Arabidopsis thaliana: one gene and its partner. The main gene of each other region encodes a partner of the protein of the gene in region 2 in a complex. Each region holds a gene or a part of one and is shown on either strand. Other genes may lie near its edges.

Region 1 (4,847 bases), 5.5 Mb from region 2:
TTATGTTAATGGTTAGTAGTCATACTTCTGATGGAAACTGGGAGGCCCATCCATTCATGTCAGCTCTTGCATTCTGAAATATCCCTCCAGAAGCCAGAGGGCTAGGGTGGTCAAGCCCACTCTGACTTAAAACTGTAGCATTCTCCAACAGTGTGGTTACACGCAAAATTTCTGTTCCAAAAATGTCAATTTGCAAGAGTAAGACGCACCAGTTAGAATTAGTCAACAAATCAGTCACCAAGACACCAATGAATGGAGAGACAGCATAGTTAATTGAGTTAGCTTAAAATATATTTTTGCTCTCACTCTAGTTAAATACACTCTGGTTAAATAGAATGAAGTCAGTATAAGAAATATAGAATTAGTCATTTCGTGATCTACTTCTAATAGCTAACAATTAGGTCTCTCTTAGCAGTACTGTTTAAGAGTTTATCAACTGTATTATAGCTTCATGAATCTGAAGCAAAGAATGAAGTATTATGTGAGATGAAAATACAAATAATAAACAACAAAAACAGTAATGCTCACCTTGGTTTAGTAGCCGAAATGCATGTGGAAGCACAGGCAGGAATGGAGTAAGCTTATGACGCTCTGCAAGTAACTCTGAAAGATACCTGCCAAAACAGAAATTGTGCAGAGTATCCAAATTAGTAAAAAAGCCTCAAAGACACATCAAACTTACAAACAGATACACTCAAATTCACTCTAAATCGATACAACCAGATTCAAATTTCCATTCTTTTGTGAAGTGGATCTAGTCAATCTTCCAAAAATCGTATTTTTTTTAACAGTTTCATCAGCCAAGAACAGAAATCAACAATAACAGAAACGAACACAACCAATGAAATGATCCTCACACACTAAAGACTTATGCTTTACAAAAAATGAACTGGATTGAGACAAATCTGAAATAGACTGAGCTAGTTCCGAAACATAGATCCTAATATAATCAAAAGAAAACAAAAAAGACAAAAATCCAGATTCGAGATACACTATTAAGATCTAAAAATCAAAATCAGCAAAGCAAAGATCAACATACTTCATCAGATACATCAGCTAATTATAAAAGATCACCAAACAATAAAAAACAAAAATATAAAAGAAGATGAAAAACTAAGATTCGATTACTTCTCTTGCTCAACGAAGACAGAAGACTGTGATCGGAGACCACCGGAGTAATTAGGAGACTGAGGAGCAGAAGGAGGCACCGAAAGAGACGACGAATACGTCATAAACCTCCCTCCGCCGCCACCACCAATACCACCACCACTTCCTCCTCCTCCACCACCACCACCACCAAGCGACGACATCATCATCATCTCGAAGACAACAGAATCAGAGTAAATCTGTCGGAGATTAGAAGAAGAAGAAGAAGCGGCGGAGGCAGAACCAAAGCTGTTGTTGTCTCTCTATAACGTCGGTGGATTTAAGAGGTCATTTTATAGAGACTGTGAAATGATTACTTGTTGTTTGCTTAGCTGTTTTTTTTTTCACCTTTTTTCTTTGTTTCATATTTTACCCAATTTTACCGCTCTTCTTGTTAGTTTCTCTCTGAAGACTCTTAACCATCTAGAAGGTTTTTTACATCCGGTTTACTAAAATTCGATTCGGTTTATCTATACCGGAATGACTAAACGCTGCGTTTCAGGAAGCGAAGCTCTGATATTCAGTAGGCCGCGAAGGAAGGTTGAAGAAGAAGAGTTGAGAATTAAAAAATGGAGGAGACGACGATTCCTTTCAAGAGCTTACATAGCAGAGAATATCAAGGTCATAAGAAGAAGGTTTTTTTTTTCTATCTCCAGTCTAATTTTCTGTACTCAATAAAACTTGCGAAACCCTAGTTTTTTGCTGAATCTGGGGGAATTTTTGGATTGAAGGTACATTCAGTAGCTTGGAATTCGAATGGAACAAAGCTTGCTTCGGGTTCTGTTGATCAAACGGCTCGCATTTGGAATATCGAACCACACGGTCATGTAATTTCTTTACCTTTTTGAGCTATGGGAACTTCTATGTGTTTTTGATGATGATGAATACATATGGAGAAGTATTGTAGATTGAGTTAAAACTCGATTATTATCTTTGTCATTGTTACTTTTTGAGTTATGTAGTTTTTGTAATTTGGTTGTTTGTGTGGTGTGTGGATACAGAGCAAGGCTAAGGACCTTGAGCTAAAGGGTCATACTGATAGTGTGGATCAGCTATGTTGGGATCCCAAACATTCAGATCTTGTTGCTACTGCCTCTGGTGATAAAAGCGTTCGTCTTTGGGATGCTCGCAGTAAGTTATATTCTTTTAATCGTTTAGTTTTGCTCCTGAAATATGCCTGGAGCTTGGTTTAGAAATCTGTATATTTTCTAATGGATTAGCTATGTGTCATTCACAAATATTTCTCGCAATCTTGGCCTTTGCTTTTGAGTCATATCGCGGAGACTATTGATTGATGAGGATCGGATCTAAGTTTCTTAGAATTATAAATTAGTTATTTAGCCAGATTCCATAAGAGAGGAATTTGATCAGGTTTTTGATATGTGGCTACTATTGTATGTTTTACTATCAATTGCTGAGATATGTCTTCTTCGAGTTCTACAGGTGGAAAATGCACACAGCAGGTAGAACTTAGTGGAGAGAATATAAACATCACCTACAAACCTGACGGGACACATGTAGCTGTTGGTAATAGGGTATTGTCTCGAGCCCCATATCTTTACACTTTCATTGTTCTTACTGTCTATGGATTACTTGATAGATCCCTTTTCATAGTCGTTGTCCTTTCTCTTACTGGCCAATGTAGGATGATGAGCTTACAATTCTGGATGTCCGTAAGTTTAAACCTCTACACAGGCGCAAATTCAATTATGAGGTAACGTAAGCTCAGACTCATGTTAATCTTTATTAATGGCTTTTTTTTTATAAGGCTCTTCCGTATCTCCTGTTTCAAGCTCATGCGGTTATATGTCACCTAAGTTCCTTGTTCATGTAATAATCGTCAAGTAATTTTCTGGTGCCGTATGGAATGTTCTCTTATCTTTTGTCTTCTTGTAACAGGTTAATGAGATTGCTTGGAACATGCCTGGAGATTTTTTCTTCTTGACTACTGGACTTGGTGAGGATTTTAAATTCTGTACTTTCCTGCACACGATTCCCTACCAAAGATTTCTTTGTTTTTGAACTTGAGAAAATGATCTTACTGAAAGTTACTTTGTATGTTGTCCTGCTCAGGCACTGTTGAAGTTCTTTCATATCCATCTCTTAAACCACTTGACACTCTCACAGCCCACACAGCCGGGTGTTATTGTATTGCAATTGATCCTAAAGGGAGGTAATATATATTTACATTTGTGGGCTGGCCTCTGAGACACGAATGATAATCTTTTTGCTTTTGCATCTAATTCTTCCTCTTTACCTTAACAGATATTTTGCTGTCGGGAGTGCGGATTCCTTAGTAAGCCTTTGGGATATCTCAGACATGCTTTGTTTGAGAACATTTACCAAACTTGAGTGAGTATCAACATGAATTTTCCATAGAGTAGAAAAAGGTTTAATTTCTGTTACATGTTAGTAATTTATAACTATTTCTCACAGGTGGCCAGTCAGAACAATAAGCTTCAACTATTCGGGAGAGTATATTGCTTCAGCCAGTGAAGATTTATTCATTGATATTGTAAGTGATTGCCCAGACTTAAACACTGCTAATTTCAATGTAGTTTCCTCAATATGAGATTAGTTCCTCGTATCTGACCACTAACTACCAAACAGGCTAATGTCCAAACCGGGCGGACGGTGCATCAGATTCCATGTCGGGCAGCCATGAACAGTGTTGAGTGGAATCCCAAATACAATTTACTTGCATATGCAGGTGATGACAAGAATCCCAAGTATAATACTGATGAAGGTACTACCGCGTATTAGTACTTCATTGTTAGCAACAACTCAAAACTCTAATATTGGTAGCAGAAAATGAACAATGACAACAACTTGGATCTCTTTGCAGGTGTTTTCCGGATATTTGGTTTTGAGAGCTCGTAGGAACAGAGCACTGAATCGGGAAACATGATACACAACTCCACTTGATTGTTCCTTGTTGAGTTAGAAAAAGTTTATGTGCCTAGTGTACCTAAATATGTATTGTCAGTATATCAAGTTGGAATAATCTTACAGTATCACTAAATACATTGAAAGTTTGCAGTTCTGAATCTGGCATTTTATTTATTGCAAAAATTTGTTACTATACAAGCAATGTTGTTTATTATTAACGAAGAATGAAATTAATAAGATCAAGATCAGAATTCTAATCCCGAATTACATCAATTTTCTACTATGTGTGAGTACTGCTAAAAGTTACAGGTTGTTCTTATTCCCTCCGGCGAATCTTCAGTCTGGGAGATTTGACAGCTACTCTCTCAAAGCTAGAACAGAGGCCAATGGTAAGATCGGACCAAAAGCATCATCCCCACAATGAAGGTTGAAGAAAGAATGCAGAGTCCTGAGAAAGAAAACACATTTATTACTGAGAGTCCAATTTTGGATTAAAGAACAAGAAGAGCACACGATTTGCTTACCGAACAAACAGTGAATAGGAAGAGTTTGTCAAAATCCGCAGAGGATGAACTTTGAGACCGGGAAGAACAACCCTGCAGAGCAAAGAAGAACAATAGTTATCAAATACTGAGAGAACCAAGTAACAGGTTTCCACTTGATCTCAACGCTTGAACTCTTCATCCTCTTCCCACTCATCGGCTCTTTCGACAAATCAAAGCTCGACCCTTTCATCCTCAACTCCAAAACACACCGTGTAAGCGTTCTATTATCATTCCTCTCCCTATTAACACCTCTGTAAACTTTCCAGA
Region 2 (5,845 bases):
GAGTTTGGAAATTTCATGAAAGATTCACTAAAGAAGTTTGACGTGAAGTATGAAAGATATGTTTATTGCAACGACATGGTTCCTAGGTTGCCTTTCGACGACAAAACACTCATGTTTAAACACTTTGGGGCATGCCTTTACTATGACAGTTTCTATAAAGGAAAGGTTGGTTGCATATATATGACAATCTTGTTTCTTTGCTTTAATCACTCATCCGTCTAATGTCGCTTACGCACTTACCCTACTGATGATATCTATCTACATTGTTGTTGTTTAATTTGTATTATGTTCAGGTAGAGGAAGAGGAACCAAACAAAAACTACTTTAATCTCGTATGGGTTTTACCAAAGATAATGAATGCACTGTGGGAGTTGATACGTAGTTTCGTCATGCCTTATTGGAAAGGTGGAGAGTTCAGAGAAGGATGGTTCTTAAGGTGTTTTAGGGTTGTTGCATTGTTGATTCCTGGATTACCTGCTCACTTCCCTAATGAGTACATCAATGTTACTCTTTTAGGTGACTTACCTGACTCGCATCTTGATTAAATTTTGACGAAGTCATAAATTCTTTTGAAAAGTTGATGTGTTTAGCTTTTCTAGGGTCTCGTTTCGGTGATGTAGGTGTTATTTTCTTATTTTGGCCTTAGATCATCCTTTCTTTCTCGCAATGATTCTACGTCTCACTTTATCTTTATCTGCATCAAGAAAAGAAATGCATAAATATTTCAATAAATACTTAGTGAAACGATTCTCTTACCTGCGAGTTATACACACAAGCAAACCAATATAACAATCAACAAATAAATCATGAAATAAATCAAACCAATGAACAATCATCCATTGACACAACCATCTCGGGGGATTGAATAATGGTACCAAAAATACTGCCTATACATACAACAAATAAATCACACAATCTCAATTGCTTAGATAATCTCATGGTCACATACCCACCTCGAAACAAGAATGATTTTGAAACCAAAAACAACAATCCCACAACGAGCAGTAACTTCCTACTCACCAACAATATCTCAACTCACCATACATCCAACTACAACAGCAAACCAACCTTTAACCTAAATTGGAAAAAATCTGAAAATAACCCAAACAATTGGTCTCAAATATTGAGTCACGAATCGCAATCTAACCGTCCAATTCAAATCTCCACCGTTGAAACTCAACCCTCAAGATGTCCTGAAGCTAACCTCAAAGTTTAGTGATGATCTGACCGCAGGTGCACTCGAGATAATTTGTTTAATACACTCTGGTCTAAATCACGTCTGAAACAGAGGACTTTACGAAAACACAGATAACTTTTAGAATATTAACTCAAATCCAAATCCGCAAAGTGGTAAATCTAGTTATAAGGCTTAGCTACAACTCAATAAAATTTCCGTACCATAGAAGGCTATTTGATTGATCAAACCTCTGTTCTACCACGACATATCTGATATGTCTCTCTCTTCCTTCACCAAAATTATCAAGTAGTTTCCTTTTTGGTGTTTTTTACATAATATTTTTGATATCAAACCAAATTTTTTCTTGTCTTTATACAGAATTTTCTGAAAAAAAATGTTACATAATCTCTTTTACGCAATTATCATCCCATCATGGAGTAGATATAATATTTGTAACAAAATATAGTTTACATAAAAATCATAAATAGTTTGACAAAAAAACAAAGAACAAAAAAAAAGAAGAAGAGAAAAATCATAAATCCTGTCAGAAGTACCGGAGCGAGCCTGACTGGAGAAATCGAGAATGGAGGACGGCGAAATAGAGGAAGGAATGGTAACTGCCGACGAATTCCCGACGCCGGAAGTAACTACCATAGAGACTATACAACCTCCCCGAGAGCCAGGAAAATCTCCACTCGAGCTACTTCGAGAGAGCAAAACCTCCGTAGAAGAAATCGTCGCGAAGATGCTCTCCATGAAAAAACAAGGAAACCACAAATCTGAGATTCGAGAACTCCTCACTCAAATGTTCCTCAACTTCGTCAATCTTCGTCAGGTACTTACCAATCTTCTCCCTCCACCTCTTTCGCTATACGATACTTATTAGGGTTTTTTTCGCAGGCGAATCGGGCGATTTTGACTGAGGAAGATAAAGTGAAAGCGGAGACGGAAAGAGCAAAGGCACCTGTTGATTTCACGACATTGCAATTGCATAATCTTATGTATGAGAAGAGCCATTACGTTAAAGCTATCAAGGCTTGTAGAGATTTCAAATCTAAGTATCCTGATATTGACCTTGTTCCTGAACAAGACTTCTTTCGTCATGCTCCTGAAGCTATCAAAGATCAATCGCTTTCAAGTGATAGTTCTCATGTTTTGATGCCTAAGAGACTCAATTTTGAGCTTCATCAGGTTGGTTAATCATCACCATCTCTGAAATTCATTCAACGTGATATAATGTTTCATTACCTTTTTATGTTTTTTGATTCAGAGGAAAGAATTGTGTAAGCATCGAGCGAGATTGGAGCAACAGAAGAAGAGTTTATTAGAAACCATTGCGGAGCGTAAGAAGTTTTTGTCGAGTCTTCCTCTACACCTTAAGTCTCTGAAGAAAGCATCGCTTCCAGTACAGAACCACTTGGGTATACAGCACACAAAGAAACTGAAGCAGCATAATTTAGCTGAGCTGCTTCCTCCTCCGCTTTATGTTCTATACTCACAGCTCTTGGCACAAAAGGAAGCTTTTGAGGAGAGTATTGAATTGGAGGTAGTTGGGAGTCTTAAGGATGCTCAAGCTTATGCTAGACAACAATCCAGAAAGGACTCAGGTAAGTTGTTTTGAAAATTTACTGTGTTTTCTAATACTAAAACGAAAAGAATGCTAATTTGGTATTGGTTTTTCAGGTATGTCGAGTAATACAGAGAGTTCTAGGTTGGAGGATGATGGACCTGATGACGATGATGATGGACAAAGGAGAAGAAAACGACCCAAGAAACTTACTAGCAAAGAAGGTTCTGACAAGGCAGGATTATATCAAGTCCACCCTCTCAAAATTGTCCTTCACATATATGATGATGAGATACCAGATACAAAATCCTTGAAACTTGTCATTCTCAAGTTTGAGTACTTGCTGAAGTTGAATGTTGTATGTGTTGGCGCTGAAGGCTCTCAGGATGGACCAGAAAAAAACATATTTTGTAACTTGTTTCCAGATGACGCTGGACTTGAGCCTCCTCATCAGGTAACTTTTTGTTTCTGTGTTTCAGTTTTCTTCTACATGTGACTTTTGATGGCTTTACTTTTAAAAATGCATACTCAATTCTCTTTATATGGCCGGTTTTCCATGCAGTCAACCAAGCTCATCCTTGGTGATGGTCAGACGTTTGATGAGAACAGAACTTCAAGGCCTTATAAATGGGTACAACATTTGGCGGGAATTGATATTTCACCGGTTTTATTAGGCCAAGAAGCTCATAACACTGACCCAGCTAAAAGTGATACGTTTGTGCCTGATCTTTCATTGTATCGCCAGCAGCATAGAGTGCAAACAGTTCTGCGAAGAATACGCTTGCGGAAAAAAGCGCATCTGGCTCTTGCGTGAGTTCACCACTCTGTATGTTTTCCGTCTTAATTAAAGAACACGATGCAAAGAATTCCAGAAAATTAGTAGACCACCATGATAATCAGCATATGGTTTGTACATTTAATAGTTTGGGTTTGTCAATAACTTGGCGGTCAATTTAATCCCTCTGTAGCATTGTCAACTTCGTGATAAGAGCTTCTATAGGTAATTATTTCTGTTGATATGTTTATTTTTGCTGAATACTTTGGAAACTTCTACTGGCTACAGGGAACAGCTTGATTTGCTTATGAAACATGAGTTACCAGTGGTGAACTGCGAAGATGCTCCTTGGGCACTGCATAAGGTTCTCTGTGCTTTGGATTCCTGGTTACATATACAATCTTCAGCTAGTAAGTCATGCTCTCTGACTCTGAACAGTGTGGAACAAGTTCCAGAACCTATGGAAATCGATGTAGATGGAAGATCTATTTCTGGAAAAGAAGATTTTGAAAGTATACGGGAAGATGGAGAACTTCCCTCTTTGGTCACGGCGGCTGCTTCGTTAACCAGTTCCAATCATACCCCATCGAAAGTATCTAATCAAGCACGGTCAAGGCAGTTGGCCTTGATGACAAAGAATCTAGATTCTCCGATTAGCAAAGGAAAGTCCCCAAGTTTCAAGAAATACGAAGATGATTTGGATCTTGTTCTGGACGATGATAGTGAAATAGATGAGCCAACCGGAAGAACTGAGGCGCATGTGGAAGAGTTATGCCCTGAGAAAGCTGATAATTCATGGGTGGATTATGGTTCGAGAGAGTTTGCGCTTGTGTTCTCCAGGAAAACAGATGGCGGAAAGTTGTGGAAGTTAGAAGCAATGGTAACTTCTAAAACACTATCTTCTAATACGGTATCTTCCCTATATCTTTTTCTTTCTTAAGTGTTAAATCGAGTTGTATTGGCAGGTACAAATTAGCATGGAGTATCCTCTTCGACCTCCTTTGTTTTCTCTGTCTCTCCACGCATCTTCTTCATCAGGAAATGAAAATGGGACAAATGAAAGTGACCATTACAATGAACTTCGAGCAATGGAAGCAGAAGTAAGTGTCAAACCCAGTAACATATACTAATCTTTACTCGATGACACCAAAGATAACGCCTTTGTAACCTTTTCGTGGCGGTATCAGGTGAACCTTCATATGTTGAAGATTATTCCTTCAGATCAAGAAAACTATCTCCTATCTCATCAAATCAGATGCTTAGCAATGTTGTTCGACTATTACGTGGATGACCCATCTCCAGATTCCAAAAGAGGAACAGCCACAACTGTGGTTGATGTCGGTTTGTGCAAGCCTGTTGACGGTAAGCTTCTTGTGAGATCATTCAGAGGCAGAGATCACCGGAAAATGATCTCATGGAAGGGCAGAGGATGTGCATCGGGTTATCCATGCTAGAGATTACATCGCCACTCACTTCTCTATATTATCTTTCTCTGGTGGTACAAGCAAAAGTTTTTGCATGTAACATTTTTTTATCGTATAAACCGTTATTGAAACAGCCTACTTGTTGGGTGAGGACCTGGTCTGTTTTAAACCTGGCAATGTTTCAAGTCCAATCCGTTTTAGCCTGCTCTGTTTTGGTCTCGATTTAAGCATTAAAGCCTAGCGGGTAGCTTGGAAACTAGAAAAGTGAAAAAGGGCTCGTCACAGGTTTTGGAGAAAAAAAAAGGAATCAACTCGTAGACAACCGTTATTACAGGTTGCTACTGCAATCATTGACAAATGTTGTTCCTGCAATTGGAGGTAGTGAAGAAAACAAAACCAAATCAAATTGGATATTAGTTTATAACTTTCAAGTGATTATATAGTTTGATTTACTTTAACTTTTAGTTTTTTTGTCATCTTATTTAAGTACAATTACCAAGGAAATATGCAAGTTTGAATTACAAGAGCGGGCGGAAAATAAATACATCCCAAAAACTTAATCCAAAAGAAGGAAGCGAATCCCTAAATTACAGGAAAACTGTCAAACGTAAATTTTTACATATCAAAAAGACAAAGCAAAATCAAAGGCATGAACGAAGACCTAAGAGGAACCACGATTTGCTAAATTCACTCCCATGTCCCAGGAAGAACAAAGCCAACCACAAAAGACAGTGAAATTTTTCGTGTTTTGTTGCAAATGAATCAACACTGAATTTTTTTGATTTATTATAGGAGTTATTTTTGTATATTGCAAATGAATCAATAGTGAAAAAATTTAGCAGCAATTATTGAGCCTATAATATAATTTTATAGTTTTATGGTTGAGATTAGTATGACATTGT

The links. The genes of interacting proteins can lie anywhere in the genome.
Region 1: THO5 (region 2) and TEX1 share a complex: the UniProt entries of both Arabidopsis thaliana proteins name them as parts of the THO complex.

The regions. Positions count from the first base shown.
Region 1 is NC_003076.8:22,721,934-22,726,780, reverse strand, and holds TEX1 (Transducin/WD40 repeat-like superfamily protein), read left to right. Parts: upstream 1-1,681; 5' UTR 1,682-1,715; coding exon 1,716-1,781; intron 1,782-1,877; coding exon 1,878-1,973; intron 1,974-2,147; coding exon 2,148-2,277; intron 2,278-2,589; coding exon 2,590-2,681; intron 2,682-2,791; coding exon 2,792-2,860; intron 2,861-3,045; coding exon 3,046-3,103; intron 3,104-3,219; coding exon 3,220-3,319; intron 3,320-3,411; coding exon 3,412-3,498; intron 3,499-3,582; coding exon 3,583-3,661; intron 3,662-3,756; coding exon 3,757-3,892; intron 3,893-3,991; coding exon 3,992-4,026; 3' UTR 4,027-4,299; downstream 4,300-4,847. Other genes in the region: AT5G56140 (RNA-binding KH domain-containing protein), read right to left, coding at 26-171, 529-614, 1,129-1,319; AT5G56120 (RNA polymerase II elongation factor), read right to left, coding at 4,588-4,847. UniProt on the Arabidopsis thaliana protein: Acts as a component of the THO subcomplex of the TREX complex which is thought to couple mRNA transcription, processing and nuclear export. Contributes to the integrity of the endogenous trans-acting small interfering RNA (ta-siRNA) pathway.
Region 2 is NC_003076.8:17,205,438-17,211,282, reverse strand, and holds THO5 (THO complex, subunit 5), read left to right. Parts: upstream 1-1,632; 5' UTR 1,633-1,760; coding exon 1,761-2,012; exon of another isoform or gene 2,013-2,077; coding exon 2,078-2,368; intron 2,369-2,447; coding exon 2,448-2,784; intron 2,785-2,860; coding exon 2,861-3,198; intron 3,199-3,306; coding exon 3,307-3,554; intron 3,555-3,807; coding exon 3,808-4,399; intron 4,400-4,484; coding exon 4,485-4,619; intron 4,620-4,706; coding exon 4,707-4,973; 3' UTR 4,974-5,312; downstream 5,313-5,845. Other genes in the region: AT5G42930 (alpha/beta-Hydrolases superfamily protein), read left to right, coding at 1-165, 294-545. UniProt on the Arabidopsis thaliana protein: Acts as a component of the THO subcomplex of the TREX complex which is thought to couple mRNA transcription, processing and nuclear export.